3 linked regions of the Notamacropus eugenii genome follow. Each later gene encodes a partner of the first gene's protein in a complex. Links are inferred from orthologs where the notes say so. Each region holds a gene or a part of one and is shown in the gene's direction. Other genes may lie near its edges. The genes, in order: MAP3K5, DAB2IP and DCP1A.

Region 1 (10,473 bases):
AGGGCCAGTCACTTAATCTCTCAGTGCTCTAGGAAGTCTAGGTACCTTTCTAAGACTATATGAGTTGCCAAGAAAGTGTCAGTCTGCCCTCTGGTAGAGGGTGTTTCCTCATCTGAGCTTCCCTATACCAATGATACCTCATATACAGATGACCCTCAAGTCTCTATTTCCAGTCTTGACCTCTCCCCAGAGTTCTAGGCTGGCATTTCCAGTTTCCTGCTTTACCTTCATACTTGGATATCCCTGGGTACCTCCGACTTATTAGTTCTAACACTATAGTCATAACTGTCCCTGTCCTTCTCCCCTCACAGACCACAACTTCCTTTTGATTTCTCTTCCACTGATGTCACTATCTGCTAAGTTGCCTATGCCTCAGATTCATGGAGTCATCTTGATTCTTCCTTCTTATTCATCTTCCAAATTTTAATCAGTTGGTAAATTCTGTCCATTCTTCCTTTAGAATATTTCTCTTACCTTTCTCTTACTTATGATTCCCCCTTTTAACACTATCTCAGACCCTCAGGAAGCCAGTATTTATTAAGTGCTTTAGACGTGCCAGGCACTGTGCTAAGCCCTGGGGATACAAAGAAAGACAAAAAACTCAATGCCTTCTGTGCCCTTCTCTGTTCCCTTGTGTGTGCCTGTGTCAGTGTTTGTGAGGCCTCCACAGTAACACTAGCACATCATGGATCACACCTGGCCCACTCCCTCACATCCTGAGCTTATCCAGGACTGGGGTGAGACACTATGAGAACTGTAGGAGGTGAATGCTTGGTTTATGGTGCAGCAAGAGCTCCCCTTGCATGTTACCACAGTGTTCTAGCCACAGCAACATTCCTGCTTCCTGAGCCCACTCTTGCATTCTGAATCACATTCCAAAGGTGGAGTGTGTGTGTGAATGCACTCTCTTTCTTAGGTTAGTGAAAGCTGGTATATAAGGACTCAGCTATGAATATGTGTCAGAAGACTTGACTAAGGGAACCCTTGTTCGTGTCATATCATATGTCGATGGCTTCTGTGCATTGGATTGTTTCTCTAACAGAGTGGATTGCCCCCATCTTTACCTTCATAGGTAACTTCACGGTATAAAGCAAAGTCACTCAGGGGTATGTGTATGAGTGTGTGTGTGTATGTGTGTGTTTATACACATATGCATATATGTATATAAACTATATATTCAGGATGTCCTGAATTATCAAAGAGATGTATATGTACACACATATGTGTATATGTACATTGTATGCATACACATATGCATGTCTCCAAAAAAGATGGTCAGTGATAGAGTACCTGAATGACACCACATATAATAACCATTTTTATTTAGGAGGAGATGTTTCCGATGAAAATCTTCAAAAGAAGTTTGGAAAGAGCCTCAAAAGGCTATTTAATGGAGACATCATATGCCTAGGAATTTTATGGCTTTGGTTGAAATGATGATACAGTCAAGTGAACACCTAGAAAAGCAGCATGACATAGATAAAATGTTGGACCTGGAATCAGAAAGGCCAGAGTTCCTATCCTGCCTTGGACTCTCAGTAGTGGTTCCCTGATTTCTAGCGGCAACTACTAGAGGTAGCTAGAGGGGACTGTGGATCTAGTGCTGGCCAGGGAATCAGAAAGACCTGCACTTGAATCCAGCCTCATTTACTAGTTGAATTTCTGTCTGCTTTAGTTTTCTCAAGTGTAAAAGGACGATCATAATACCATGAGATAACATTTGTAAATTGTTTAGCACAGTGCTTTTAACATAGTGAGTATTTAATAAATCCTTTCTTCTTCCTTTTTTTCTTTCTTATGTCTTTCCTTTCTCCTTTCTTTTTCTTTTCTTTCCTTCCTTTCTCCCTTCCTTCCACCCTTTTTCCTTCCTTCCTCACTCCTCTTCTTCCTCAATCCCTCCCTCTTTCCCATCTTTGTCCCCTTCCATCCTCTTTTTTCCTTCCTCCCTCCCTTTTTTTCTTTTCTTTCATTCCTTCCCCCCTTTTCTTCCTCCCTTTTTTCCTTCCTCCCTCTCTTCTGGATTTTTTTCCTTCTTCTATTTTAAACTACAGTTGTACTGTAGTCAGTTTTTAAGTTGCTTGTTTGAATGCTTATTTACCAATATTTATTGTAGTACATTACCCATTATGTGTAGTGAGGCTGGAAGATATGTAGATTTTTACATCCCTAAAATATTATAGACTAGTAGTTTGCTCAGAGAATACTATACTAGGTTATACTTGTCCATAATTTTTTCATTTTACCTTTAAGCCGGTTTAGAATACTTCCTTTATTGTGGCACGAGGCTATCAGATTTTAGGAATTATGACTGAAGGTTCATAGTAGAAGGTTCATAGCTCTTTAGTAAAAAAGGGATCAAAACCCCCCTCTCATCCAGGGCCAGTGCTGTTCTATCACTTGGTACCCAACTGAACAAAGAGTAGAGGGACCCCTTGGGGCCTCTAGAACCCCAGGCCCAACTTAGAGTCAGTAAACTACATAAGCATGGAACCAGACCAGTCATCCCACTCCATTTTAAGTTACAGACAAGGTGTTATGCCCCCTCCCATACCTGTGTCATGTAATAAAACTTTTATTGAACCAATAAATCAGAGGTCTGAACTAGGTGTGGACAAGGAAGACCTTGTCATTTTTTGTGGATCAAACAATCAATGAAAGGCTTTAGAATAGGTATGAAAAGTCCTCGATCAACTTAGAAGTGCTTGAAATTCATTGTATGAAATGGAATGTATGAAAAGGAAGTATATTTAGATTGATTGAAGAGACTTGGTTATGCCCTGTGGGTTTTCTATAGAATAAACCAGATTTGGAACTCAAGCACTGGGACATCTGTCTGCTTAATGGTTAAAGTTCAGCTAACCACAACCCTGGGAAGCTCTTTAGGTTTAGTCTCAGACTCTTCCCTCCCACCTTTTCTGGTTGAAGGAGAATCTTGGGGGCTTAGAAGGATCCAGAGGATTTGGAACTTCCCATGAGCATCCTCGCAGAGTCCTTGCTACAGCTAGCTACAGTCTACATCAGAAGCCACAAATTAGATGTAGGGAAGAAATGATGTTTCTAGACTATAAAGAGGCAGAGCAGTTAGGTGGTACAGTGAATAAAGCGTTAGCCCTAGAGTCAGGAGGACCTAAGTTCAAATCTTGCCTCAGACACCTGACACTTATTAGCTGCTCAAACCTGGGCAAGTCACTTAACTGGATTGTCTTATGCAAAGACTACCAGGAGTCCAGGAGAAAGCTGTTATCACTCCATGCCTAATGGGATGGAAACTTCATGAGCACTCCTGGAGAAGTGATGGGGGAAATGAGGACTTTCCCCAGTAACTCTGAGTCATCTCTCTCTCTCTCTTTATTCCAGACCTGGCACACTGAAACACTTAGCTGCCCAGTACTCCCTTCTAAAAGTCTAAAATGGGTGGCTCAATGGATACAGAGCTGTTCCTAGAGTCAGAATGACTGGCCTCAGATACTTACTAGCTATGTGATCCTGGGCAAGTCACTTTTGTGTGCCTCAGTTTCCTGATTTTTCAAATGAGCTGGAGAAGGAAATGGTGAACCACCCCAGTATCTTTACTAAGAAAACCCCAAATGGGGTCACTGAAGAGTCAGATACAACTGAAAAACAACAGAACAAACCGATAGTTATAGGAGAAATTACAAAGGTGGAGGCTTGTGAGCTGTTGCTTTAGAAAGACAGACCCCTACCCTTCACTGCCTAGATTTAGCAAAGGAACTTATCAATTAGTATAAACTTCCCCAATTTTACTAATGAAATTGAGAGAGAAGCAACTTAATCAAGGTCACAAAGATAGAAGCAGAGATGGTATTTGAACCCAGAACCTCTGACTTCAGATTCTGTGACAAACTGGACCATGGGTGAGGAACAAGGTTAAGTGACCCTCCAATGCCTTTCCCATGGTCAATGGATACATTCTATATGTTCTATGTGGGGATTAGCTGTGCTACTAGGTCAAACTCCTGGATAATTTACAGCATAATAGGTATTCCCTCCCCTCTTTAGAGCTAGAGTGTCAACAGGCACATGTTAAGTCTTAACTTGAATGAAGACGTTATTCCATATCTTAGGATTCCTTGGGGAACTGGGGATCTTCAGACCAAGGGGTACCTAGCCTTTATGTAAAAATTAGAGGAGAGGCAGCACAACAATTGAATGTATGAGCTGGAAAGGACTTTAGAATTCATCTAATCCAAGAGGTTTTAACCAAAAGTCTTAAATCACACACACACGCATTAATAATTTTAATGTAATTGATTTCCTTGTATGCTTTTTATTTTATTTATCTAAAAAACATTCTGAGAAGGGGAAGGGATCCACCTAGAGGCAGCTAGAGCTCTGAGCCTGAAGTCAGAAAGAACTGAGTTCAAATCCAGATTTAACGACTTACTAGTTGTTCAAACCTGGCCAAATGCCTCAGTTTCCTCAACTGTAAGATGGGGATAATAATAGCATTTATTTTGCAGGGCTGTTGTGAGGATCATTTGTAAAGCACTTGTAACAGTGTCGGACACATAGTAGGCTCTTAATAAATGTTTATTCCCTCCCCCCCCCCCCCCCCATCCTCGCATCGGTATTTCAAAAATGAGTAGGAAAGACCCCAGGACCACCTCAGATCTTTCACAAGCTAGTCCCGGAGTCCAAGCTCAGATGTGTTACGCACAAACCTCGGGGCCAGACAAGGCTTTCCGCCGCCTCGGAGCTCAGCTCCCTTTGAAATCAGGGCCATGGTTGCGCAAGCCACGAGTTCTCAGGCCAGGCAGTCACAGCTTAAACAGGAGAGCAGAGCTAAACAGAAACCAGAGGAGGGCGCCATGGCCGCGGGGACCGTCTCATCAGACACCAACCGCAGCAAAAAACGACTTTAGCAATGGCAAGAGAGACTTTTTGTACGAGCCCCCCGCAGTTTGAAGTAACTGAGGGCTCGCGTAAAAAGCCTCTTCTGAGGTAGGTAGCTGAATGGTGAAAACCAGAGGCAACAGACAACCTCTAGCTGAGCACCAGTCCTGTAGACTGACCTAGGGAGCGTTGATGACCGGTAGCACCGTCGCTTTCACCTCGGTTTAGGGCTTCCCAGCAGCGCCCGCCCCCGGGGGTTGGCCCCAGACTCTCCGGGCTCCAGCAAAGGGGCGGGAAGAAGGCAGTTAGCAGAGGGGACAAGCGGCTGGAAGAAATCGCACGCCTCCAGCCCCGCGGGCCGGCGCTTAGACGAGGCGGCCGCCACGATCGGAAGAGAAAAGAGGGAAGGGGAGGAGAAGGAAGCTGCAGTTGACTGGGGAGGCGGATCCTCTCGGCTGCGGCTTCTGGTGTGCGTGTACAACGCTCGGCAATCCCCTTCGGTAAGGTGCCAGCCAGGTGACTCTCCCGAAGGGAGAGGAAACCCCCGTGGTCCCCAGAGAGCGCGCCGCGGAGAGGAGAGCGCACGCCGCGAGAGCAGCTGGCGTTGCGTTATGGTGTCAGTGGCGCACGGAGTCTCCGGAGCTTAGAGCCTCTTGGCAGCCCCGTGGCACAGGTCTGCTAAGAGCCCGGCCAGCCCTAGACAGGGAGGAAGCGCTTTTTTTCCTTCTCGTCCAACAGCTTATTCCTACCCCTTCTATTCCGAGCCTTGCATCGAGCTAGAAACACCGCCACGGAGGCGCCCAGGAGGGGAGAAGCGCCGCCGGGTAGCGGCGTCCCTCCGGGAGACAGAGCGCCGGAGAAGAGGCGGCGCCGCGGTGGAGGCGGCGGCGGTGGCGGCGGTGAGGGCTCAGCTCGAGATGGCAGCTGCCTAGCCCGGCGGGCGCGGAGCAGCCCCGAGCTGTGGCTGGCGAGACGGGGCGGCTGGGGGGTGGACCCCACCGCGGCCGCCGGAGAGCCCCTGGAAGAGATGATCGCGGAGGATAGCGAGGGCATCACTTTCCCCGTGCCCCCGTTCAGCCCCCCGGGCTTCTGCACCTTCCAGGAGGGCGGCAGCGGCCGAAGAGGAGGAGCAGCAGCGCCTGCAGCTGCTGCTTCAGGAGAGGGGAGTCAGCTCCCACCACCGCCACCGCCACCCGGCAGCTTCTGGAATGTGGAGAGCAGCGGCACCTCGGCCGCCTGTCCAGGGGGGATCTCGATCGCTGCGGTGGCGAGTGGGCCCCCGAGCGCCCCCCGAAGTCGGGGCAACTCGACTGGCGCTGGCGGCGGCAACCGTAGAACCACCGTGGCATATGTGATTAACGAAGCGAGCCAGGGGCAGCTGGTGGTGGCGGAGAGCGAGGCCCTGCAGTGTCTGCGGGAGGCGTGCGAGGCGGTGGGCGCTGCACTGGAGACCCTGCATTTTGGCAAACTGGACTTCGGGGAAACCGCGGTGTTGGATCGCTTCTACAATGCAGGTGGGCGAGATGGGAGCCTTCCTGCGGCTCTTCTTCCTCCTTCTATGGGTGCTCTTTCCTCCTCTCCCTTCCCCCACTTTATTTTTTTCTTTGCTTGAGCAGCTCCCCTCTTCTGGTCTGTATCCCTGTACCGAGAGAGTGCCTAGTAGGGTGTTAACATATTGAGTGTGGCAGCACTTGAGAAGGAACGTTTCTCCTTTCCCTGGGAATGTGAAAGAGGGAGTCCTCTTTTCCTCTCCTCCCAGGAACTCTAGGATCCTGAAGTTGTGCTGAGCTTAAGCCCTATACCAATCTTTCTTCTCCCTGGGATTCATATTTAGTCTTTTCCACTCACCTCTGTCCCCATCTTTGGTGTTGATCTCACCATTTCTAAGGGTGCGTGTTTGGTACTTTCAGTTGACGGTCCCTCCTCTCACCTCCCTTTTTCTTCACTAGATTTTTAGGTGTCTCATTTAGGTTTAGAGTATGAGATAGAGAACAGGCTTCAGAGACAGTACCAACCTGGCTACATGCACTTTGTCTTAAGACTGATTTTTCCTCCCAGTCTTATTTTACCTTAAGTTTTGATGACTATAATTCAGACACCCCACTTACTTGCATTTTCTAAGTTTGTTCTCTAGGGCAGTAATGACATTGTAACAAACACTCAAGTTCTCTATTGTCTTTGTTACATTGTTGGAGGGAAAGAACCCAGTGTTTTGCCAAACTGTGTGTGCTGTATCCTGGGACATTTATCAATTTACACATTGTTTAAAACGTTAATGACTTTCTTGAGAGCCCACATGAGATCAAGTTGAACTATAGGTAATTAAAGCAGTTGCTCCCATAATCCCTTCCAAAAATAATTTTATTGTACTGTTCTAACACCTGCTACAGTAGTTTGAGAGGTGGGGAATTTGTTTAGCAACTGAAGCAGTTTGCCCTCTCTTGACAGATAAGCTGAAACATTCAGAATATTTTCAGGAATGTACGTATGAAATTAACCTCCTGTGGCCCTTTGAACATCAGTACACTGTTGAGCATGTCAAACCATATGTTTGCATTAATGTAACTGGGTTAAAATCTGATTGAAGCAATTTCAGTGCAGTAAGCATCGAGTGTATGTGCTTACATAAAAGGCTTTAGATTCTGGACTTGTTTTCAGGCCTGTCTTTCCATTCAGGCTCTTCAAAACACCTGAAGGGTGGTTATGTCAGTGTTGGAATTCAGCCATGGCTGATGTCTCAGTAGTTCAAAAATAAGGAAAAGAACTTCATGTTAGGAAAGACAGACTAAATAAAAGTAGGTCTTTCTGGTTCTGGTATTTGCTAGAGTGCTGGCCTGCATAACTGAACATACATGTCATGCATTATTGCTAGCTATCTGAATTATGTAAACCTTAAAAAAAAAGTAACTTTTATTTGGAGCACAAAATTTGGAAAATAGTAAAGAAGTAACCAAAAATAGTGCAAATCAAGGAAAGACTTTCTTTGCTATATTTAGTCTTATTGCAGTATTAGGTGGATTTTTAAAAAGTTCCTACTTTATACTCTCTGGAAGCTTAACTCCTAAGTTAATTGGAAACACGGTCTTAATAAGATTATTTTTACTGCTTATATTCTACCAAATACTGATTGATGGTTATAGTTGCCAAACACAAAGAAACTGCACCCATTAGCGTTGTAGACCTATTATTCCCATGTGGAATCTAACAGTGTTTCTCTGGGAAATTGTTCTCATAGTTTCAACTTGGGATTTTAGGAATGTATTATAAATGGCTAAGTTAAAGCTAGAAGGGGACCTTTGCTTAGTTGTCTCCTCATTTGACAGATGAGGAAACTGAGGCTCAGAGAGGCTAAAGTGTTTTACCCAGTGTTGCACAGGTGGTAAATGGTAGAATTGAAAACAATAAATAATCCCCTCTGATGCTTTAAAAAAAAAAATCATCTGTCTTGAATTTGAAAGTTGAATCTGCAGAGTTAAACAGGTCCAGCAAAGGCGATATAATGGCTATGAATTAAACTGCAGTGATTATTAATATAATGCTAATTATAACTTTGAAGTAGTTTATGAAAGTGCAAATATGCATTGTATTACTCTTAAAGAATGGCTGTATTTGAACAAATGTATTGGGAACTTCATGTTTTGGAAAATTGGAGAAAAAATTGATGGGTTTCCTTTTACTTGCTTATACAAATATATTCTTTGAATATAGGGTCTGATTTTTAAAAAGATTGTTGGTTTTCCCCCTATGAATATTATTTAATTATCCTAATTTTTAGATCAGACTTTGGAAGGGGCTTTTTTTTTAACTATTCTCAAACTTGTGCGGTAATTTTAAGAGGTACAACTTTCACTTTTTTTGGGAACAAGTATCATCTTACAGTGTCATCTGTATTCTTTCCCAACATCTTCCCTGCCAGCATTTAAAGTTCTTTCATCATTATTTCCTTTCTTAGCTTTTGTGTTGAAACTCCTGCTATATTATTGGTTTCATGGAAATTTTCCAAATTTACATGCTTAAGAAAACATCGCTACAGAGACAGGAAGTGCCATGGTAACAAACATTTTATTCAGTAGAATTCAGTGAATAGTAAGAAATGTCATACTTTCTCCTTATTCATGATGTCTAATTTACAAATGGGTTGCATCCTAAATTATTCAACAGAGATTTAGCTAGTGCCTAGCCTTCTGTGTATAGAGTACTATGTTATGCCCTGAGGAAACAAAATGTTTAGACGAGACCATCTTGCCATTAGAAGTGTCCATTAGAAGTGTTTATATTTTGTTTCTAGAATTTTTTTTTAGAATTTTGATTTCATTTGCCATTGAAAGAATGTTATAAATGGCAAACCCATTTCTAAGCAAGACTATATGTATGTATTTGAAATATAGAATCCAAAAATGTTTCTATGGAAAATTGGTCTAACTTAGTAACATATTATCCCTTGCCCCGCCCCTCCCCCTACCCTAGCTCTAAGCAGGTGTTTCCCTAGCTCTATGCCACAGGTCATGACTGCCTTGGACTGGGCGAGGACTGACTCATGGGGAATGGGAGCTAGGATGGGAGGGGAATAATGGTAGGGAGGTTGGAGTGGTTGCAAACTGACAGAAGTTTCCTTTTTTTCTCCCTGTTGCCTCCTCCCAGGATACTCTTGAAGAACCACCCAATATAAGCTCCTTGGTATATTTTTTGCCCTGCACTGGCACCCTCTTCCTATTCTTTTCTGCAGTGAGTCTCAAGGATTCAGTCACTTGCTTTCATTTACGTTGTTGCTGTTCTGTTATGTTCTGATCTTTGTGACTCCATTTGGGGTTTTCTTGGGAAAACTACTAGAGTAGTTTGCCATTTCCTTCTTCAGCTCATTTGATAGATGAGGAAACTGAGGCAAACTGGGTTAAGTGACTTGCCCTGTGTGTGAGTACACAGCTAGTAAGTGTCTGAGGCCAGATTTGAACTCAGGAGGGTGAATATGCTTGACTTCAGGCCCTGAACTCTATCCACTGTGCCACCTAGCAACCCCCATTTATATTAATGCTAGCTAATTGCTTCTAGCCAAGGTCTTTTTTCTCTCCTGACCCTAGAATGGGAACCCTTTATCTTCTGGTCCCTGAAGCAAGCACATGGCCCTTTTGTCTTTGTTTTTGTTTGTTTGTTTTTTTTACTGTGGCCAGCACTTTAGACTTCAGTTAATCCACACTATCATCCATCTGTATGTTCCTTCTGTCAGTCAGATCACAAGCCATCCATCCATGCTGTCTCCTCCTGCGAAATTCTTGTCCATGTTCTCCATGAATTCAGAATTTGTATTTTAATATAAACTTCCCGATAAAAGTTGTCCCTTCTGTTTGCTGGAATGTCCATGGAGCTAGGCTATATTCCCCACCTCCCTGCAGTGGTTTGCTCTTGATTTTCTAGGATATTTCTAACATTTCTGTAGAAGAAGCTTTAGATCCAGACTATTTTAGAATCCTTTGTATTTGAATCCCTTGCCATCTCTACCTTTTTTTTTTTTTAAACATCATCTGTTGTTCCTTCAACAGAAGGAAAGACCCAGAACGGTAGTCAAGTTTTCAAAGGAGCCCAGGAGTCAAACTGTCATAGGATTCAAGGAAAAATTATTGG
Region 2 (10,591 bases), on another chromosome or scaffold:
GTCAAATGATTTGTGAGGTTCCTGCTGCCTGTATGGTCTGTGTTGTGTGAAAACTGTGAAGCTGTTGGGGACATAAGAGAGCTAGGGCTTGGGGAGGCAGGGAGCAGAATACGGAGAGGGGGATGGGGTGGGGAAGAAAGGACTGGTTCCTTTTTACTGAATTATTGCCAGATGTTGGCTTTTCTAATTCTTCAGGCAGGAAAAGAGGAAAAACCTGTGTCTTTTCAAAGAACTTCTGCTTCTCTCCTTGAAGGGAGCTCCCCCATTCATAGTGCCCCTATTACTATATGATTCTGTACCAGGGCCTCCCTTGTCCCAAACCCAGCCCCCTCAGGGAGAACAGAAAAATTACACCAGAGCTGTTCTCACTCTCAGGAAAAACAGTTCTGAGTCATTTCTTCTCTCTTCTTCCCAACTACCCTTTGCTCCTGGGCGTTGGGCCCCTTTTCCTTGCTTTCTTTATATCCTGCTTCAGTCTGGCTATTCTTCCTGTCTGGGAGAGGAGGAGGAGATGGACCTGGTGTTTGGAATGGGCTGTGGATAAATCACATGTGAATAATTGGGTTTTGAGGGCATGCGGATCATTTCTGATAGATCCAGAGCAACTGGCTGGTCTAGTCCTTGGCCAAACAACAGGGAAGACAGGGCACATTTGTGTAGTGTTCTCTTTTTCTTCAAAGAAAGGCAGATTGATATGGTAGAAAGATTGTTGAATATGGTATCAAATGATCCAGGCTGGAATTCTATCTCTTCTACTTATTACCTCTATGATCACGAGCAAGTTACTCTACTTTTCCTGGTCCCAGTTTCCTCACTTGTAAAATGAGGGTGGAGACATGGGGGAGGGGGGGTTGGGCTTGATGGGATCTAAAATTTCTTGCAGTGCTAATAGAAGACTTTCAAGTCCTAGACTGACTACTTCTAAGCTAGTGGGTTTAGAAGCTATGGGCAAGTCATGTAATCTCTTCACGCCTCTTTCCTCATATGCTGAATACAGGGGTGGAATGAGATGAAGTGTAAGGACTTTCCAACCCTTTATCCTGTGAACCCCTCCTGGAAGGAAAGGAGTGATGAGTTTTCAAGGAGAGGACAATGTAAAACCCCAAGGACCAAAGGGGTAGGTAATTATGCACTTCTCTGTGGATGAGCAGAGAGGATGCCAAAAGCTCTTTTCCATGCCTCTCTTGCCCCTCAGAAGACATGGAGGGAAGATGCCCAACAAAGTAGACTATGTCAGGCACATTTCAAGCTGATTCCCCATTAGGGTCTCAGTGGTCTCCATTAGGATCTGTTTCCTCATCTATAAAATGTGGGAGTTCGACTACAAGCTCTTAGCTCTGTTCCAATTCCAAATGTGTGATCGTTTTTTTGTCTAGGGATTCTAGGATTTAGGGATGCTGCCCTCTCTACCTGGGAAGTGGAGAAAGGGATGAGTATGAAGGAGTTAGAGTATAGGGAAAGCCGCCTGTCATCCAGCTGTGATCTCCCCAGCCTGACCTGACCTTGTCATGTCCTGCCCCCCTTCTCACTGACAGGCAGGAGAAGGGACTGTAAAACCTGGCCTGGAATATTGCCCATGGACTGAGATCTGGAGTGTTCTCATGCTTGGCCGGACTGAAGGCCACCTCATGAGCTCTCAATGTCAGGGTCCAGTGTAAACTCCCAAGGAAACCCCCCTGCTAGGTTACTGGGAGACAAGTTCTTATATGGTAAGAAAAATTTTAGTTCCTTTCAATTCAGTAAACAACAACTAAGCACTTTTAAAGAAAAAAGGCAGCTGGTGTAATGGACTGGATTTGTAATCAAGACACCTAGTTTTGAATCCCAGCTCTGTAACTGATTAGCTGTGGGATCTTGGGTAAATCACTTCAGCTTTGACCCTCTCTTTTCTCGTATATAAAAATGAAGAGTTTCTATCGAAAATGTCTGGAGTCTTTTCTATCTCGCAATTTTTAAATTCCATAATCTAATATTCCTACCTCTGTACTGGGCAGGTTGGGAGGCAAAGAAATACAAAAGGAGGTTCCCTCCTCTGAAGGAGATCAGAGACTATTGGGGGAGAATGGCTCTACCTGTAACCCAGATAGCCAGTCCTGTCCAGCAAGTATAGAATGCCCAATGAGCAGCACAGATGAGACACATAGGAAACCAAAGGAAGAGCACTCACTGTGACCTTGGGGTAGTGAGAAAAGGATGTGTGTGACTAGAGCTGGCTCTTAAAGGATGGGTATAATATGAGACGATACAGGCAGAGAAACCCAAGGAGTGAGAGTAGCAAATAGGTATGATGAGAAAGAGCAAGACATGTGTTGAATAGTTTGGCCAGCATGTATGGTGTGTGAAAGAGAATGGACGATAACAAGGTTGGAAAGGGCCAAGTTGTGGAGGGCTAAGGAATTTGACCTTTATATGTCAGACAATGAAGTGTCATTAAAGATTCATGATAGACAATGAGGAAAGAATACCAACTTTCAAATGCTCAAGGTTGGGTGCTTTTTTCTGAGCTTCAGTTTCTTCATCTTTAAAATGGAGATAATAATCTTTATGGACAGCTAGGCAGCTCAGTGGATGGAGTACTGGACCTGAAGTCAGGAAGACTCATCTTCCTGTGTTCAAATCTGTCTTCAGACTCTTAGTAGCCAGGTAACACTGGGCAAATCATTTCATCCTGTTTGCCTCTGTTTCCTCATCTGTAAAATGCTCCGTAGAAGGAAATGGTAAACCACTCTAATATCTTTACCAAGAAAACCCCAAAAGGCATCATGAAGAGTTGGATGGGACTGAAATCAAAGAACAGCAACAATAATACTCGTATTGCTTACTTCATCGAATTGTGGTGAATAAGATATTTTGTAAACCTTGACGTGCTCTAGAAATAGCACTCCTCCTGTTGTCACTCCTTTTACTCAAGAATAATATGAAAACCCTACTTTTCACAATAATACCCTGCCATCTTCTCAAGGATGGATTGGAGTGGGAAGATCCTGGCGTTGTGAGGGCAGCAAGAGAATACTGTAATAGTCCAGGAATAAAGGGATGACAACACCAACCATGGGAGTAGAATAAAAAGCATGGATTGTTTTTAGTAATTTGCAAAGGAACAATAGGCTGCTTGGCTACTGAAGGTGACAGAGCAGGACTTTTTCCACTATAACCAGAAAAGTCCAGTGGAAACAAGATCAAGACTGAATTAAGAGAACTGGGTTCAATTTTCATTTATCCTACTTATTAACTTGGGGAATAAATATTGGAATTAAAGCAGCTATCATGTCAGAAACTTGAGGATAGGTAGTAGGTTTTTGGTTTTTTTTTTTTTGAAAAGTGTGAATTATATAGGCATGAAAGGGGTGATAATTTGTTCTACTTTGGATTCTTTTAAAGAGACTCCTCCCCCCATTTCTTTTCTTTTGCTATGTTGTTTTATCATTGTCTACGGGAATCACCATCAGAATCTTAGACACAATCCATCAAGCTTTTGCCAAGTACCTCCTATAAATGAGCACTGTGGGAGTGCTGATGATACAACAACCATACTATCCTGCCATCGAGAAGTTTTGAAGTTGGAAGAGACCTCCAAGGTCATCTAACTCAGAGGTGTCCCCAGTGCCAGAACCAGATTAAAATGTAATTAGAAAATATATAACATTTTAAACAAAGTATAATATTTTAAACAAAATCAACATTTTGCTAATTTCAATTAATTAGTTAAATGTTGATGAATATTTAAACAAAATTTAACAAAAAAGATTAAAATGTAATTAGAAAATATGTAAAATTTTTGACAAAATAACAAAAGTCTAACAAAATTAGAAAATATATAACAAAATAAACAAAAGTACAATAAAATATAGATCATGTTAGCATGTGGTTTTCTAAGTCAATGTGCAACCTGCAGGGATTGTCATGTATGGTTTAGTTGCTCTTTCTCTCATTTCTATTTGAGTTTGACATCACTGATGTAGTCTAAACTCTTTAAGCACTAGTCTTCTCTCCCCTGTGCCTGACAGGTGATCACTTAGCTTGTGCTTAAATACTTATACTGATGGTTAGCTCATTACCCTTTAAAGCAACCCATTCTGTGGCAGGAAAGCATTCTTTGTTAAGAAGTTCTTTGTCTTTTTGAGCTGAAATCTACCTCTTTATAATTTTCTCATGGGTCCTAATTTTACAGATTAACTGGAGTGCAAACGATTTACTTCTTTATATATCTCATCCTTTCCTTGAACAAGTACCCTTTCCTGAGCCAGTGGGGCTGTTGGAAGATCCAGAGTCTAGCTTCTTGTCCCCTCCTTCTCCCAAAAGGCCAATAAGATTTTGTTTTTTCTGTACTTCCTCTCTAGTGTCAATTCTACCTGGGAATTGAGCTGTAGCCTAAATCTTCCTGCACTAGAGTATCTTAAGTATAATTGACAGACTGATCTGTCAATGATTTGTCATTGGCTACCTGTATAACTTTGGACAGCAGTGATAACAGAAAGTTATATTTCTTAGTGCTTTAAGGTTTACAAAATGCTTTTCCTCTAATTATCCTGAGAAACAGGTGATAGGTAGAAGCAGCTAGGTGGCAGAGTGGATAGAACACTCGAAGACCGAAGTTCAAATTCAAACTTAGATATTTACTACCTGTGTGACCTTGGGCAAGTGAGCACCTATCTCATAGGGTTGTTGGGGGATCAAATGAAATGATATTTGTAAAGTGCTTAGCACATAGTAGGTGCCTAATAAATGCATATCCCCTTCCATTCTTCTGGTACAAGTGTTATTTCTATTTGATATATGAGGAATTTACCACTTCTCTGAGCCTCCATTTCTTCCTCTGTACAGTGAATATACATGGCTTCCACAAGGGCCATTCCATCCCTGACAGTGCTGAGCATTCTTTGTTCTAGGATCCCTTATGCCTCCAACATTCTCTGTCCCAAGGTCTACTCTACCTTTTAGATCATTTCATGTAAGTGTGTATAGTGGCACTTAGTCGACCACCCATCAATCTGAAAGACAGTTAAGGCAGATTGAGAATACTCTAAATCCCAAGCTGAAAAACAAGTCCCATCTGGTTTGCCTGTCTATGGCCCTCATCCTCTCTTTACTTCTTTCCCTTGGATGTTTGCTTCCTTATTTCTGGATCAACTTCCTAGCCTGTGTGGTGTGCACACATTATTTACTCTGAACAGGCAGGGCAAAAAGGTCCCTGTGGGGTGAGAGTGGGGGTTGGTATTGTCTGACCCTTTGTTCATTCAAGTTCTAACAAAAGTTTTCCCTGTTTCATTGTACCTTCAAGGCCTCAGGCCTGCCTGCATGCATCACAGGATTTAGAGTTGCAATGGAGTAGAGACTTGAACTCAAATCTCTGACTCCAAGCCTAGTGTTTTTCCTACTCTGAAGTTTTATGTGTTTGTATGTATGTGTGGAAGTATGTATGTGTCAAACTTTCACAAGATTTGATCCTCAGCCTTTGGTTGGTGATCATGGTTAAACTCCAGTCTGGTTTCCCTCTAAAATAGTCATTCTGTGTCATGGGCCCCTTTGGCAATCTGGGAAAATCTAAGGATCCCATCTCAGAATAATATTTTTAAATGCATAAAACACATATAGGATTTTAAGGGAAACAATTATATTGAAATATGGTTATTAATTTTTATTTAAGTTCACTGACCCTGGGTGAAGAATCAGTTCACTCTCACCATCCTGCCTTCTTCTAAGCATTATGCTACAGACTATTGGACAGTCAGAGAGGCTTTAAATGGTTGGATCTGGAGGCTATCAAATGGAAGACCACTCTGGACTTGGGTGATCTAAAGTTGAACGTGACCTTAGACATCAGCCGTTCCTACTTTCCTCTATTTTTCAGGTGAAGAAACAGACCTCACAGAGGTAATGACTTAACCAAAGTCACATGGCTAGTAAGAAAGAAGTGTTCAAACTTAGGCCATCTGACCCCAAATACACTGCTGCTTTTAACAGATTGTGCTTCTTTTCTGAGTACCGTTCATATGTTTATAAATCTTAGAATACTGGGATTTGGGAGTTGGAAGGGACCTCTCTTGGGGAGGGATTATGAGAAAGGGAAGGATGATAACTGTTCTCCAGTAACCTTCCCATACCATAACAATCGTCTCCCTGGTATAGAATCCCTCTCCGTCTCCCCTTGTGGACATCACTCCAAGGGGAGTCCCGTTTGACCAAACTCATTGTTTCAACCAACACAATAATCCAGTCCGGGATTTCTTCCAAACTGACTTTCAGGCTACCTACTCCCCCCTCCTCAGTCGTCACCCCCTTCTCATTCAACTGGGAGCCAATGCCAACTCTGCCTTCCTCTTTCCAACTCCAACAGGCTTATCGTTGGAGGAAGAATTTGTTTCCACAGTTTAACAGGGCAGTTAAGTTAAGCAAGCAGGGGGTCCAGGAGCTCTACCTCAGAGAGGCTGAGATATAGAGCAAGACCTCTCTGTGGTTCTCAGATTGTCCTCGATGCCTGACTTGGACGTGTGCCCAGGGCTCAGGGTTCTGTCCTCCTCATCCCCTGGCCCCTGGCCCCTGAAGAGCTGGACTGGATCCCTCCACCCCTCTGGGGGGGGGCAGCTGTGAAGAAGGGCTGGCAGCTAGGGGCTCTCTAGGAGGGGGAGCATTATGTCGGCCGGCGGCAGAAAAAGTGCTGGGAGACCATCCTACTACTACCGGCTGCTGAGGCGATCCCGTCTGCAGAGACAGAGGAGCCGGTCGAGGAGTCGAAACAGGCCAGCCAGCCGGGGTAATAGAATTGGAGCTTGGCTTCTTTGCCATCCCTATCCTGAAACCTCCTTCCCTCCCCAGCATTTGCTTCTTCTTTAGGGAGAGCTCAGTCTTCATTCTTTCTGTAATGACCCCCTCTGCTCCCCACAATCTGATTGGCAGCTGCTTCAAAAACTAACACAATGGGTCTCTGTCTCTTGAGGATGGGGGTGGGGGCACAATACATTACGCTGGGCTGGGAGTTAGGAGACCTGGGTTCAAATCATAAAATTAGAAATAGAAGAGGCCTTAGATTCTATTCACTCAAAAACCTTTCTTTTATGGACAAAGAAGAGTTGAAGGGACTTGTCCAAAGGCATACTGTAATCAATATCTGTGTTGGGTTTTAAAACTAGAAGCTTGGACTTCAAATCCAGTGTTTTTCTTCCGTGCCCACGTTGCACCTGCAGTCAACTCATTGAATGAACTTGGGAAAATCCCTTAAAAGCCACTCTGAACCTCAGTTTACTCATCTATAAAAATGAGTGGATAGGGCACGATTTTGTCTACCTCCAAAGTTCTAGGACTCCTTGATTCTACGACTGGTGTTGAGAGAGCTGGCTGGAGGGGACACCAACATGTGTAATTCTTGGCTGCTTGTGACCTCTGAGGTCAATTGTTCAAAACCTCTCTTGGCCTCAGTTTAGTGGTCTGTGGTATGAAACACAAAAGAAGGCAAGGTGGTTGATGATCAGCTAGTTTAGGGTAAGTCGTCTCACCACATCCTGCTACTGGGATCCCACTGTTTTGATTACTATTTTCTCTTTTTCTTTTTTTTTTTCCCCTTTACCCTTTACTCCTCAGTCCCCTGGAGTGGGTAACCAAGGGAAAACCTGGATGATTTCCTTAGGGAGAGAGGCATACTGGTTAGTGACATTTCACCTGTAATGAATATGGTGAACTAAAGAGAATGTTGGCCTAGAAACTGAAGTCTGATTTGCCATTCACTTTTTGGTCCACCTTGACAACATCATTTGACTTCTGTTTCTTACCTGAGGGATGAAAAAGTTGGAGTGGATGGCCTCAGAGGTCATTTCTAGCTCTAACATCTCCTAACTCTGTGTGTGTATGTGTATGTGTGTGTGTGTGTGTGTGTGTGTGTCTGTCTGTCTGTCTGTCTGTCTGTCTGTGTTTGATTGACTTCTGGAGGGCCTTGCAGAAGGGAGGCATGAAGTCATTCCTGCCCTTGTGGAGGTGGCTGGTGGGGCTTTAGGGAGATTAATGGCTGCAAGGTACCCCCGTTTGACAACCCCGACCCCCAAATCTGGGGCAGAGATGCTAAGATTGAGAGTTTAGGAAAGTTTTCTTCCTGGGCATTATACATACAAGTTTTTTTCTCACTAGTGGACAGCTGGTGATGGAGTGGGAAAAGGGAGGAGGAACCAGGCTTTCTTTTTTTCCAGTAACAAGATCCTCATTTTCAGCACATGTGTGATTCAGACATTTATCTGGGGGGGTGGGGCAGCAGGGGGAAGAGTTGTTGGTCTTCCTTTTCCTGGGGCTTAATTGAGGAGGGAGATAACCTGGAAGGCCCAGAGAGGCCAACTTAGAAGAAAGGAAAGGCTGTGTGTGTGTGTGGGGGGGGGGGGGGGGGTGTTTGTGTGTGTGGTGTGTGTGAGTGTGTGTGTGTGTGTGTGTGTGTGTGTGTGTGTGTGTTTGGGGGGAGTGGGGGTGGAGAGAAGGTGCCAGAAGGGGGAACAAGGTTCAAATTGTTTGTGCTTTAGTATTACCTCTGGAAATAACAATGGGTACAGTGAAAGGTGCTGGCCTGGGAATCAGGATACTGGAGTCTGGTTTTGGTTGGGCTATAGTTAGTTTGGCGACCCTGGGCAAGTTTCTTTTCCTTCCTGGTTGCCTTAGATGATCTCTAAGATCTGTTCCAGCCCTAATATTCTGTGTTCTAATGTTCCATGTTATAGAGGCAGCAGGGTGGAGTCAGGAGACCCGGCTCTGATATTACTAGCTTTGTGACCCTGATCAAGACTTTCAAGTTCTTGGAGTTATGGGTCCCATGGGAATGATCACACCTGCATCACATTACTAGTTTGTTGTGACTAAAGTGTTTTATATACCTTAGTACATATAAATGGGAGCTATTGTTACAGCCTGACATTCTGTGTTCCAAGGTGCCTTTCTACACAAACATTCTACATATTCATGAATTTTGGAGGTTGGAGGGCTGATGCCTCCCTGGCAAATCTGGTAGAGAGATATTTTTGGGAGATCTTGAGATCAAACTGTAGAGATGCACTCTTATTCTTTCTCAAGGGAAGGCTTTGCTGGCTCCTCTGAGTAAGGATATCAAACTCTTGTGATTTTTTGAGGCCCTTTTGCCTTTTTCTATTTTAATCTCTTTGAGATACAGACTAGTAGTGATATTGCTGGATCAAAGGATATGCAGAGTTTGATTGCTCTTTGGGCATGGTTACAAAATGCTCTTCAGAATGGTTGGATCAGTTCACAACTCCACCAACAGTGCCATCAGTGTCTCAATTTTCCCACATACCCTCCAACATTTATCGTTTTCCTTTTCTGTCATATTAGTCAATCTGATAGGTGTGAGGTAGTACGTCAGAGTTGTTTTACTTTTCTCTAATCAATAGTGATTTAGAGCATTTCTTCATATGACTGTAAATAGCATTGATTTCTTTATATGAAAACTGCCTGTTCATAATCTTTGACCATTTATCAAATGGGGAACAACTTGTTTTCTTATAAATCTGACACAGTTCTCTATATATTTGAGAAATGAGGTCTTTGTCAGAGATGCTTTCTGTAAAAATTGTTTCCCAGTTTTCTGTTTTTCTTTTGATCTTGGTTGCATTGGTTTTATTTGTGTAAAACTTTTGAATTTAATATAATCAAAATCATCCATTTTATATCTCTTAATGCTCTCTCTGTCTTGTATGGTCATGAATTCTTTCCTTCCAGATATTCTTTAAGGTCTAAAATTTATAGCTCTAAAATCACTCAATCCAAAAGTTACTTAAATTCTATAAAATCTTGCTTTCCTCATCTGTAAAATGGGGATAGTAAAACTGGTGAAGAAAGTGTTTTGTAAGCATCAAAACATCCTAGAAATGCTAGCTGCTATCAGAAACAAGAAAGCCTAGGAATTCTTATAAGGGCATAACTGGCCTATCTCAGGACAACTGATCATAGATTGAAAAGCCATACTCCCTCCTTCCCTGTTGGCTAATGCCCCCTTCCAATGCTTGCCTTTGTGTCCACTCATCTCTCCAGGGCACCCACCTTCCAGTTTAGCTGTCTTTGGTGAAGATGGGATGGTAAGCCAAGGCTCCTGGGAGGAGCGGGTGGAGTTGCTTATAAAGATGTGCCTGGCAAGGTGAACCTGGTAGGCAGGAGAGAGAGGAGCACCAAGGAGGAGAGGGGTACGGATCTGTAGTAGCTATCACTATGTTTTCATATAGTGACTGAGTCACTGATTTCAGTGTCATCTTAGTGAGCTCTAAATCTGGAACTTAATGTGTGACCTTGGGCAAGTCATTTTCTTTTTCTGGGCCCAAGTTTTCCCTCTATAAAATGAGGATAAAAAGATTGGCTAGAAGCTTCTTCCTAGAGGCAGAGGGGTAGGAAAAGTGACCAGTAATTTCTGAGATACTCTTTCCCTACCCTGTAAGATCAGTTGGTTAAAGCCTTGCTGAGATGTATCTTGAGAAATAAAGGGTTGTAGTTTCCATTCAGAAAATGGTGGCTTTTCTTTTGATCAATATTGGGTTTCTAAGCCTTCTCATTTCCTCCTGTTTCCTCTTAGATCTGAGCTGAAACTTCAATCTTCAGCCTCTTTAACTAGGAA
Region 3 (10,470 bases), on another chromosome or scaffold:
GACAGGGATGTGCCAAATTGAAGTGAATTGTCTGTCCCCATAAACATGCTGTACCGACCTTCTTTCAACCCATAGGGTCCCCAGAATAACTATTCCTAAGATCAAAGTACTGTGGTTCCACACCCAATCACAGCCATAACTCATGAGCCCCCATCAATGTGCTTACTTTTTCTCTAGTCAGCCAGGAGGCACAATTAGTTCAAAAATAAAGGCATTTCATCAAATAAATCAGAAAATTCATAACACAAGATCACTCCCCATGAACATAGGGCATACTTCCAAAAGTACACATACCATCTGCAGAGAGAATGGGCATGGGGTATGAAAGGGACATATATGAGGAATACATGTGGCCAGAGCATTAAGACGTATTAAGACATACCCTGCCAATATCTTCTGGTGATATCATCAACCTGCTTTCATGGAACTTGCTCCCTATCTGTGTGACACCTCTGATGAACACCTTGCCTGCGGTCCCCTTTCGTGTTGTGGTGGTTGCTTAGTATGGGCATTGCTCCCTGCTACTTAATAAATGCCTATTACCCACCTACTAGCTTCTGGGCTCCTCTCTTCAGGATCAACCAAGCTATCTGAGTTTCAGTCTGCTAGTGTCTGGTGGCTAGAATGACTTTCTGATAAAGGCAGGCTGACAGGAATTCCAGGCAGAGTGGCACCAGGGTAGGATTAAGTCTTTTAGATGCCTAAATTTCTGGTAGTATAAAACTTTAGTTTCTCTACATATTTTAGATAATTTCCTATAATTATTTCAACATTTGTACATATAGCACTATCCTAGGTATAAAGACACATACCTAAGATATTCACACATAAGGGATATCTGGAGATTAGAAGAATCCTAAGGAGATTTCATAGAATAGTGCTTAAAGGAACCCAAGGAATTTAGTCCAGCCCTTTCATTTTACAGATGAAAAAACTGAGGTTTGCAAATTCCAGTGAGTAGGCCAAGGTCACATAGATAATTAAGGAAGAAAATATGGTTTCCTAACAATGCATCAGGATAAGATAATGCACATAAAGGACATTAAAATTCTATATAAGTGGGAGAGGTGGCACTGCAGCATTGCACCATGGGATTGGAAAAGAGGTAGCTTCTCCATTGTAGTAGACAAAATGTTGGACTTGGAGTCAGGAAGACCTGGGTTTGATTGCTGCTTCTGATAAAATATGATTTCTATCACCCCAGTCAACTCAACCTCTCCTTGGTTCAATGAATTCCCTCTGACTTGTCACACTCTAAGTTTCAAATGTCCCTGGATTCCTAAGGTCATATTTTGTTTTGGGGGAACCTTTAGGTTTCAGCATGAATCAAGATCAGTATTTGCTACTCAAGTATTCCCAGTGTGGACAAGGACCTTCATGTTCACAATTTTCAATGCTGTTAGACAGGTCTAGGGGCAGATCTCCACCCATTCTCCTTTGAAGCCATTTCCTACTGAAAATGTAAATAATGCTATTAATAAGTTGTGTTCTTCACTCTTCCAGATCTGCTGATGTTGCTTAACCAGGCAGAAAATAAAGAGACCACTTTAATTATTTCAGAAGACTGTGTGGGAGAAAAACTAAATTTAGTCAAAGAGAAAGAGGCCCGTGTATCCCACAGGTGCATGTAAAGTGATTGACTTAGTTTTACCAAGAAAGAGTAGGGTAGGAAGAAGAGTCATTTCGAGTTGGCAGGTGATAATTGTTTAATTCTTCTGTTGAATATTCATGTTGAGTATTTCTTGGAGAACTTTCCCTAATGGCATCACAAAATAACCCCTAAGACTCTAGTTTTTCAGGAGGAAGCAAGTAGATCAAAACCCTGAAAACAGGATGACCCTAGGGGGATCAACCCCCCCAGAGAAGATCAGTTTGTCTGCAGCTAAGCCAGTCAGGTGGATATCTCTAGCTCTGAATACCTGTGCCTGACACACAGCAAGCCCCGAACAGGCGAAAGTGGTTCCTGCTTGGATCCTTGTTGAGGTGGAATGCCTCAGTCCCAGCCTTTAACCTGCCCCAACTCATCCATCAGAAAAATTGCAAATGCCACCTTTGGTAGGAGGCAACTTAATGGTGCTTTGGGTAGAGAGCTGGCCCTGCAGTTAGGAAGAACAAGTCTGGGTTCAAATCTGACCTCAGAGCCTTACTGGCTGTGTGACCCTGGGCAAGATATTTATCTCAGTTTCCTCATCTGTAAAATAGGGATCATAATAATAGCACCTGCTTTCCAGGGTTATTGTGAGGATAAAATGATATAACTATTTAGCTTGCATGCTCTCTCTCTCTCTTTCTCTCTTTCCCTTCCTCCCCTCCCACCCCCCATTAGCTATTATTGTTTCCAAGTCCTCCTCCCTCCACACACAATGCTAGCAGTTTCTTTCTAAGATTACCTTCTAATTATTCTTTGTATAACTATGATTTGTACACAGTAACTTGCATTTTCTTTCCATCATTAGACTGTGAGCTCTTTGAGGGTAGAAACCATGCTGTGGCCTTTCTTTGTATCCCTAGTGCTTAGCACAATGCCTGCTGAGAACATAACTTTTTGTTCATCCTTCATTTTCCAAGAGGACCAATGACATTACAGAGTAGCGTCTTGATTCATGGGTGAATTGGATTTAAGTGAGGCAGAGCTGCCCAAAGTTGTCAGCCTCACTCTCTTCCTGAGTCATCAAAGTCCAATGACAAGACAAAAGTCAGGATGACTGGCATGGCCTAGGATGCAGTGGGTGACCTTGGCATCTTCATTTCTGAACAACCTCTAAGCATTCCACAGTGCCTGCTTCAGCCACCTTCATGGCCACTGGAACAAATTGTTTTCATCTGCCCATTCTGGCAGGGGAAGTCTTCACATGCTTGGGGTGGACACTGCCCTAACTCATCAGTGGGTTTGAGGCCCCCTCCGTCACTCTCAACCTGGTTCACCCTGCCAAGGTGGTTTTACTGTGCTGTGGCCACTGCACATGCTACAGCTTCTTGGAGCCACAGGTGAAGCATGTAATAAAGGCTTGTTCACTGCTAAGGATCCGAACGAATTTCCATGAAGAGAGAGGGTCAACACTGTCATTGTAACACCCAAGTCCTTATCTGGATTACAACTCTGGTGTAAAGAAGCAGGTGGCCCCAAACACAGATCAGAGAATAAGGGCCTTGAACCTTTTCCCAGGGATATCTTAGGGCCCAGAGGGTTTAAGGCTTGGTTTGGAGAGGCAAGAAGTATGTAAGACTTTCTCAGGGGTCATATAACAGGAAGAGCATTGGAGGAGGTCAGAAAACTTGGCCTGAACAGCTGAGATTCTTTCTATATTGGGCTGGCACACAGGAAGTGTTTCATAAAAGATTATCCCCTCCCTCCCTAGCCAGTAAGACAAGGGCCCTGAAGGACTCACCCAGTCCAGCTAAGGCTTTATCAAAGAGCAGCCTGATGAGACCATCACCACCCAGTTCTTCAATATCATTATGTTTCTCATTTGAAGTTCTCCGACTCTATGGAACGCTTATAAGGCAGGGGGTCACCTTGGTGAGTTCAACTGACAAGTCATGGCCGGCTGCAGTTGTACTGGTCCTGCTTCTAGGCATATCAAGGAAATCCTTTTCTCTGTAAGATCCATTTAGCTTCCAAATAATAAAGAGCAGGATATAACACTTTGCTCCAAAGACCAGAGTAGGATCTAGCTGTTGACAAGTGTCCTCAGTCCCTGCTTTTTGGCCTCTTTTTCTTCCCCCTACTCAATAAACCCCAGTGGCTCCCTATTACCTACAGGACCAAACAGAAAAACCTCAGGCATTCAATCCCTAGCCCCCTGCCCCGCTTCACCTCACCACACAGACACACAGACACAGACACACACACACCCCCAGCCTCTCTGCTGTTCCTAACACAAGATGCTCCTGCCCCCTGCCTCCCAAAGGCCACGTGGAATCCTGGCCCCAGGATTTGCCAGCCACGTCATCGTGGCCAGGTCACGCGTTTCCCGAGGCCTCTGCTTCTCCCTCTGTAAGGCGAGGGGTCGGACTGGGAGTGCCCCCCGCTGGGCTGTCTCCCCCACCTGCGGAGGAGCGAGCCGAGGGGATGAGGGGCAGCCGCTCCGGTTTCGTCCAGGCCTGTCCCCAGCCGGGCTACCACCGGCCCTGGCGGGGGCCGGGCCAGGAAGGCCAGCCTGCGAGTCAGGCACGTTCGGCCTCAGTTTCCTCCTCTGTAAAAAGGGGGAGTAACCACACTGGAACCCCGGACCTGGGGCCAAGGAGGGTGAGGGGTGGGGGAGGTGGGGGGGTCTGGGACCCCACCCACTATCCGCACGGATGACGTCACGCATGGCCGGGACTGCCCGTCTGTAGAACCCTCCTCGTTGCCCCGCCCGGCCCAGGGCAGTAACACGGGGGTCAGCCCCCTCCCGGGGGAGAGGAGGACACCGAGGGCCCCACGGGGGACCCACGGGGGACCCACAGAGGACCCCGGCTGGGGGAGGGGCTGAGGGGCTGCGAATGAACGACAATGACCACGTCCTATGGGCGGCGCCCCCCGGGCACGACTTCCGCCCGCTGGGGGTTTCCCCGCAGGGCTGGTCGCTTTCTTCTCCAGCTCATTTGACAGATGGGGAAACTGAGGCAGAAAGGGTGCAAGGCCTTGCCCGGGGCCACCCGGCTAGGAAGCGTCAGAGGATGGATTTGAACTCAGGCCCTGCTGACTGCGGGCCAGCGCTCCCCGTGCCATGGCGCCCCCTCGCGGCCGTCGTGCTCAGCCTCCCGCGCCGCAGCGGCCACGGTCTCATTCCTCATGATTACGTCATTATCATGAAGCTCAGGTTCCATCCCAAGGTTCCCAGCAAGGAGCCAGCCCCGCCCCCGAGGAGCTCGCTCGCCCAAGGCGGCGCCCACCCAGGTAGACTTGGGCCCCAACGGACATGCGCCAGGGGCGCCCCCGGTGACGTATGCTCGGGCGACCGGCTCGTGCTCGCCGCGCGCGCTGGTCACGCAGGATCCGGCGCCGGAGGGCGGGACAGGAAGAGGCTGGGCCTCCTCCTGGGAGGGGTCGGGAGCTGCCCGCACTCTGCGTCGGCGTCAGCGGCGTCAGAGACGGCCAACGCGCCTGCGTGATCCGTGACGTCAGCGCCGCGGCCCCGGAGGTTTGAATGGGAGGCCCCGCCCGCTAGTTTCCGGTGCCGGGCCGCTGACTGGGGGGGGCGGCCAAGATGGAGGCGGGGAGTCGAGCCGGGGCCGAGATGAGCCTGGCGGCGCTGCGGCGCCACGACCCCTACATCACCAGCATCGCCGACCTCACGGGCCAGGTCGCGCTCTACACCTTCAGCCCCGAGGCCAACCAGTGGGTGAGTGTCGCCCTCGGGCCCGCCGCCGCGGCCGCTGCGCCCATTCCGCGGCCGGGGAGACTGAGGCCCGGGCCGGCCGCCGGGCTGGGCCGCGACTCGCTGAGCCAGGCCCTGCCCGCCCCAGGCCTAGGGCGAAGGTCCTGCCCCCTGCCCGGGCCTCCGTGCCCTCCCCTGTCAGAAGACAGCGCAGACAGCCCCCGGCGCACACAGTAGGCGCCACCAAGAACAAGCGCGTATGAAGCGCCCACTGTATGCCAGGCGCTGGAGCTATCAAGAGAAGCAAACAACTGTATACAGGCCCGCCATGGGGGGGCTAGGGCCACAGGACCTGGGTTCAGATCCTGCCTTAACCAAAGCCGACTTCGGTGACCCAGGACAAGTCACCGCATGGGAGCACAGGTCTAGCGCCTTCCTCTCCCTGTGCCTCAGTTTCCCCATCTCTAAAATGAGGAGATCCCTCTACATTCATCTCCTGTAAGGAAGTGCTGCCCTGGGTTGGGATGGACGCCTAGATAGAGCAGTTTGAGGGGCTGCCCCTCCCCCACTGTATGGGGGAGTTTGGGGGGCCGGTTATGGGCGACGGGGCACGGCCGAAGTCTGAAGTCCGAAGCCCAGGACCCTTTGGGGGTCTCCTTCCTGAGCTGCCTAAGGGACGCTCTTTGAATGGCTTTGGTTTGTTGAGTTTGTTGAATGATTGAGTTGTTGGCTGGCAGCGTGCGGACATACTCCTGTCCTGCGGCACAGCCGCTAGTGACCCCCCTGCTCACATCTGCCCCAGCTTTGGGGACCCCAGAGTCGTGAGGTTGGCATGCGGCTACTTCATCCCTCCAGGAATGTCATCCCACTTATTAGGGTGCCTCCCTGGGCAGGTATCTGACCCCCCGGGCCTCAGTTTCCCTATAAAGGAAGGCCTTTAAGGCCTCTTCCAGATCTGGATGTAGCCCCAGGGTCCCACCTGTTTGTCATTTGGTGAAGAATCTGTGATTTCCTGCCCTTCTGACACTTAGGTTGGCCAAGTCTTTGTAGGCTTCTCAGACTGACTCACCCATGCTTTTGGAGGAAGGGTCTGAGGCTGGATTCGAACCCTGGTTTGACTCCCACTCCAATGCTCTCTCCTCATTTTATAAGAAAGGAAAATGCTTCCTCTCAGTGTCAGCATGAGGTTCCCCGCCTAGTAAACGATAAAACTCAGGCTGATTAGGTTGGAAGCTCCTTGAGGCCAGGACTGTTGCCTCTTTTTATATCCCCACTCTGTAACACAGTGCCTGGCACATAGTAGGCTTTAATGAATGTTGACTGATTGATCCGGAGCTCAAGTCCTCGGGGCCTGCCCTAGACTTCACAAACAAGGATGCTGACTCATCAAAGGGCATCCAGTCTGGGAAGACTCATAGTTTCCAAGGTCCTTTTGGCCCAAAGTGGCCCAGAAGACATGGGGGCAAGGGAGTAGGGCATGAAGGAGTATGGAGCCACATCCCAGAATAATTTCTGAACACTGCGGGGATTTTAGATGAACAAGCCAGTGTTTCCCCCTGATGTTCTCCCTAAAGGCCAGGGCCACTCCTTTGTTCTGAGCCCAGGCTCCAGAGAACCCAATGGGGAACCATCTGCCCAGTTTGATCCCTAGGCATTTTATTTTACCAGGATTTAAGAGAAAATCAGTTTAAGTGAAAAAATTAAAAGATAATAAAAATATTTTTAAAATGTGTTTTCTGTTCTTCCTGGGTGGTTTTTAAAGGTTCAAACCAGCCCTTCAAACTTATGTGACTTTTTGCTCAGCTGATTGTATCAGTAATGTTACAGACCTCCTAATGATCTAACAAAGTGTTGGAAGCCTGTATAATGTATCCCAAGATAAAACACTGTTGCAGGAATCTTAGCTGGACACTTTGTTTTACTAAATGGCTTTTAAACCCTCCTTCCACCTGGTTGTATCTCCTTTATTTCTTCAAGGTATACAGTATTCCTCTTCTGTGCTATAAGGACTGGGGACCCATTGGTGGTGGCCAGGATTGCAGTATGTAGCCATGTTGCTTCCTTTCATAGTTATAGTATCTCTAAACTTGATGTGAATAAGTAAGAGTCAAAGCTTGGTTACCAAGTGAAGGTTCTTGTGGTTCTCTGAGGCTGGCTAGTTCCATCCTCACTTTTATTTCAGCAGAGCCTGGCTGGGGTATTTACGATTCCAGGTGCTTTTGGGAACTGGTCCTCCCTGGCTTGGTTTCGTTCATTAGTTTCAGTCATGTCTGACTCTCTCTGACCCCATTTGGGGTTTTCTTGGCAGTCATTTCCTTTCCAGCTTATTTTACAGTTGAGGAACTGAGGCAAACAAGGTTAAGTCACACAGCCAGATTTGAGCTCAGAAAGATGAGTTTTCCTGACTGTATGTTGGGAGACATCGAATGATGAGAACACTTCCCAAAGGGTAGAGGGGCAGCTTGGTACCAGTGAAGGGTGATGAAGGCCAAGTGGTGTTAGAGACCCCAAAAGGACGAGCTGGTTGTGTAGGAGAGTATGGAGAGTCTCAGGGAGGCCATGGGTGATGGGGGAAGGGGAGCACTGGGATAGAAGGAGCATGCTCCTACTGGGGAAAACTGAAGGAGATGCTTCCTGCTGTTCTGAAAGAGTTGATCTCATGGGGTTTTTCTTGTCTCAGCTTAAAAGTTTTAAAGACTTCTGGCTTAAAGAAGGAAAATGAAAAAAGGCTAAGTCTCTAAACAAATCATTAAAATTCCATTCACATGTGTTGTATACCTGTAAGAAATCAAGGAGGTCACCTCAAAATTCAACGGCTTCTCTTCATACAAAATATGCATAAGGACTTTTTACCACTTTCACATTGTACTTATGTCCAAACTAAAAGCTCTTTTTCTTGAAAGCAAAGATGGTAAAGAATAGTGGGTTTTCAATAAGGACTGACCTTATTAAAAGTAAAATGTTGTAAAATTTCCATTTTAATTACAACTAATTACAATGGTCTGTCCTCAGGCTTGGGCCTCCCATTGCTTTCTCTGTAAAATCAGGAAATCTGGGATTCCCTCTGTTTTACACCCTTTGGTCTTGTTATCCCAGTTTTACAGTTGAAGAAACTGAGGCCCTGGGAGGCTCAGGCAGATAAGTCCTTGAGACTGGATTTACAGTGCCAATGTTCTTAGCACATCATGCTGACTGAAAATCTGTAAGTGTTTTTGTTTTTTAAAAAGCATATGTCTCAATATGTTTATCACAACTAGAAATTACAAGGAGAAATAAAGTGTTTGACACTAGTTGTTTGTTTTGAGCAAAACTCCCCAAACAAAAGAAATTGCCCCCAGTATAGAAGCCAACATTCCCTTCTTCCTGCCAACTCTGGTAAATGTTGAAAAGGGAAGATGCTCTTGGAGTGGTGCGCTAAAGCAGCGACCACAGCAAACCAGGGGATTGGCTTGAATAATCTTATTAGGAATTATCTAATTATGAATAAAATAGCTTTCAATCCAAGTTTTCACCCTTTAAAAAGAAAACAAATCCCTTGGAAAGCCAGTGAGGTCTCTAGGACATTTCAAAATTGATTTTCCAATGTTAATATTGCATTGGTAGAATGATGAGCAGTTACTTAGAGGTAGGTTATATAAGTAAAATGAATTCCATATAACTGTCTTTTTAATTATCTTCATTGCAGGAGAAAACTGACATAGAAGGGACCTTATTTGTATACAGAAGGTGAGATTTTTTAAATGCCAAACCTCAAGTTTTTGTTTACCTTTTAAAGTTTAATCATGGTGGCTGTAACGACTTTGCTCCAGGAGGGTATTAAGATTTTCCTCCCTTTGGTTCCTCCTGTATTTGTTACCTCATTCTGTCCTATGCTGTATCATTGAAGGAACAAGACTAAATAGCCAGAATGTGTGGGCCCACCGGGCCGACACAGTGAAATTAGAACTAGAAAAGAAGTCAGTATTTTGGTATGTTCTCAAGTATACAGCTCAGTGAGAACAAAGCCCTCGTATAGCAGGCTTACTCTATTTTTCTTCGTATCATTCAGAAGCCCTCTTTGAAACACATTGAGTCAGTATATGTGATGTAAATGAGATTTGCCTGGTTTTGTCCTGTTGTAGTTTAAGTTACTCAGAGGAAATCCAGGCTTCTTTCCCAAGTTGGAGATCACCTGCCTTAGTTTACCCTGAATGGTGTGGATGGGTGGTGCTTACTCTGGACAGATCAGAAATGTTTGGTTTTCCCAGAAAGCCTTAATGAGGTTACAAAGGTCCCCAGTCCCTGAGTGGTCTTCACGTGCACTTGGCCTTCAAGTCACTGTTTAACTATAGTGTGTATGCCACAACAGAGCCAGCCAGGGCATGGCCTTGGGGAGTTGTGCACTCCTGTCTAGAGCGATCCCATTGCAGGCTCACTTTCCTCCTCAGTCCTGGAAAATTCATCACTTCAAACACATCACCTCTACTTCATGTGAAGAAATGCTTTATTATAAACCTCAGAGTCCTGATATCATTATTATAACCATTGCTTGTGGTAATGCAAAGTTCAGCAGAAGACGTCCCTCACAGAGGGACGCTGTAAGATGTTGCCGTGGTGAGACCTTAGGCTATGTGTCTTAGGCCGTAGGACCAGGCTGATGAGAATCCCTTTTGGAAGGTGAAGCCTGCTGTCTTCATGTTTCTCACCCTGGCTAGTCATTGCTAGATAATTCTGTGTAACATGCTCATGTAGTGATTGCAATGGAAATGAAAGGGTGGGCATTTTTGCAGTTTGAACAAAAATCCAATGCCCCAGGATCAGATGGCTTTTTTTCTCTGTTAAAACTAAGGTCAGCTTCTCCTTTCCATGGTTTCACGATTGTGAATCGGCTGAATATGACAAACCTCGTGGAACCAGTGAACAAAGATTTGGAATTCCAGCTTCATGAGCCGTTTCTTCTTTATAGAAATGCCAGCCGTGAGTACCAATGGTCCTCTATTCCAATTTTTTTTGGTGTTATGATATTTTCTTTCAGGAGTCGAGGTATTGGGGATTTTTCAGGTGGTGACCTATAGTATTTATTTGTGTCTGAGGCCAGGTACAACTCAATGCTAAGTCTGCCTGGTGGGGAATGGGAGTGACCCCTTTGTAGTAAAGGAGGAGAGTGGGGTGCGAACTTTATAAATCT

What was found.
Region 2: MAP3K5 (region 1) and DAB2IP share a complex: the UniProt entries of both Homo sapiens proteins name them as parts of the cytoplasmic complex. The link is inferred for Notamacropus eugenii from reciprocal best matches to the Homo sapiens genes MAP3K5 and DAB2IP.
Region 3: MAP3K5 (region 1) and DCP1A share a complex: the UniProt entries of both Homo sapiens proteins name them as parts of the cytoplasmic complex. The link is inferred for Notamacropus eugenii from reciprocal best matches to the Homo sapiens genes MAP3K5 and DCP1A.

The regions. Positions count from the first base shown.
Region 1 is NC_092873.1:223,163,875-223,174,347, reverse strand, and holds the start of MAP3K5 (mitogen-activated protein kinase kinase kinase 5), read left to right. Parts: upstream 1-5,556; 5' UTR 5,557-5,881; coding exon 5,882-6,368; intron 6,369-10,473. UniProt on the Homo sapiens protein: Serine/threonine kinase which acts as an essential component of the MAP kinase signal transduction pathway. Plays an important role in the cascades of cellular responses evoked by changes in the environment.
Region 2 is NC_092872.1:442,772,764-442,783,354, forward strand, and holds the start of DAB2IP (disabled homolog 2-interacting protein), read left to right. Parts: upstream 1-6,094; 5' UTR 6,095-6,633; coding exon 6,634-6,754; intron 6,755-10,591. UniProt on the Homo sapiens protein: Functions as a scaffold protein implicated in the regulation of a large spectrum of both general and specialized signaling pathways.
Region 3 is NC_092874.1:478,411,385-478,421,854, forward strand, and holds the start of DCP1A (mRNA-decapping enzyme 1A), read left to right. Parts: upstream 1-5,137; 5' UTR 5,138-5,192; coding exon 5,193-5,327; intron 5,328-8,988; coding exon 8,989-9,029; intron 9,030-10,131; coding exon 10,132-10,259; intron 10,260-10,470. UniProt on the Homo sapiens protein: Necessary for the degradation of mRNAs, both in normal mRNA turnover and in nonsense-mediated mRNA decay. Removes the 7-methyl guanine cap structure from mRNA molecules, yielding a 5'-phosphorylated mRNA fragment and 7m-GDP.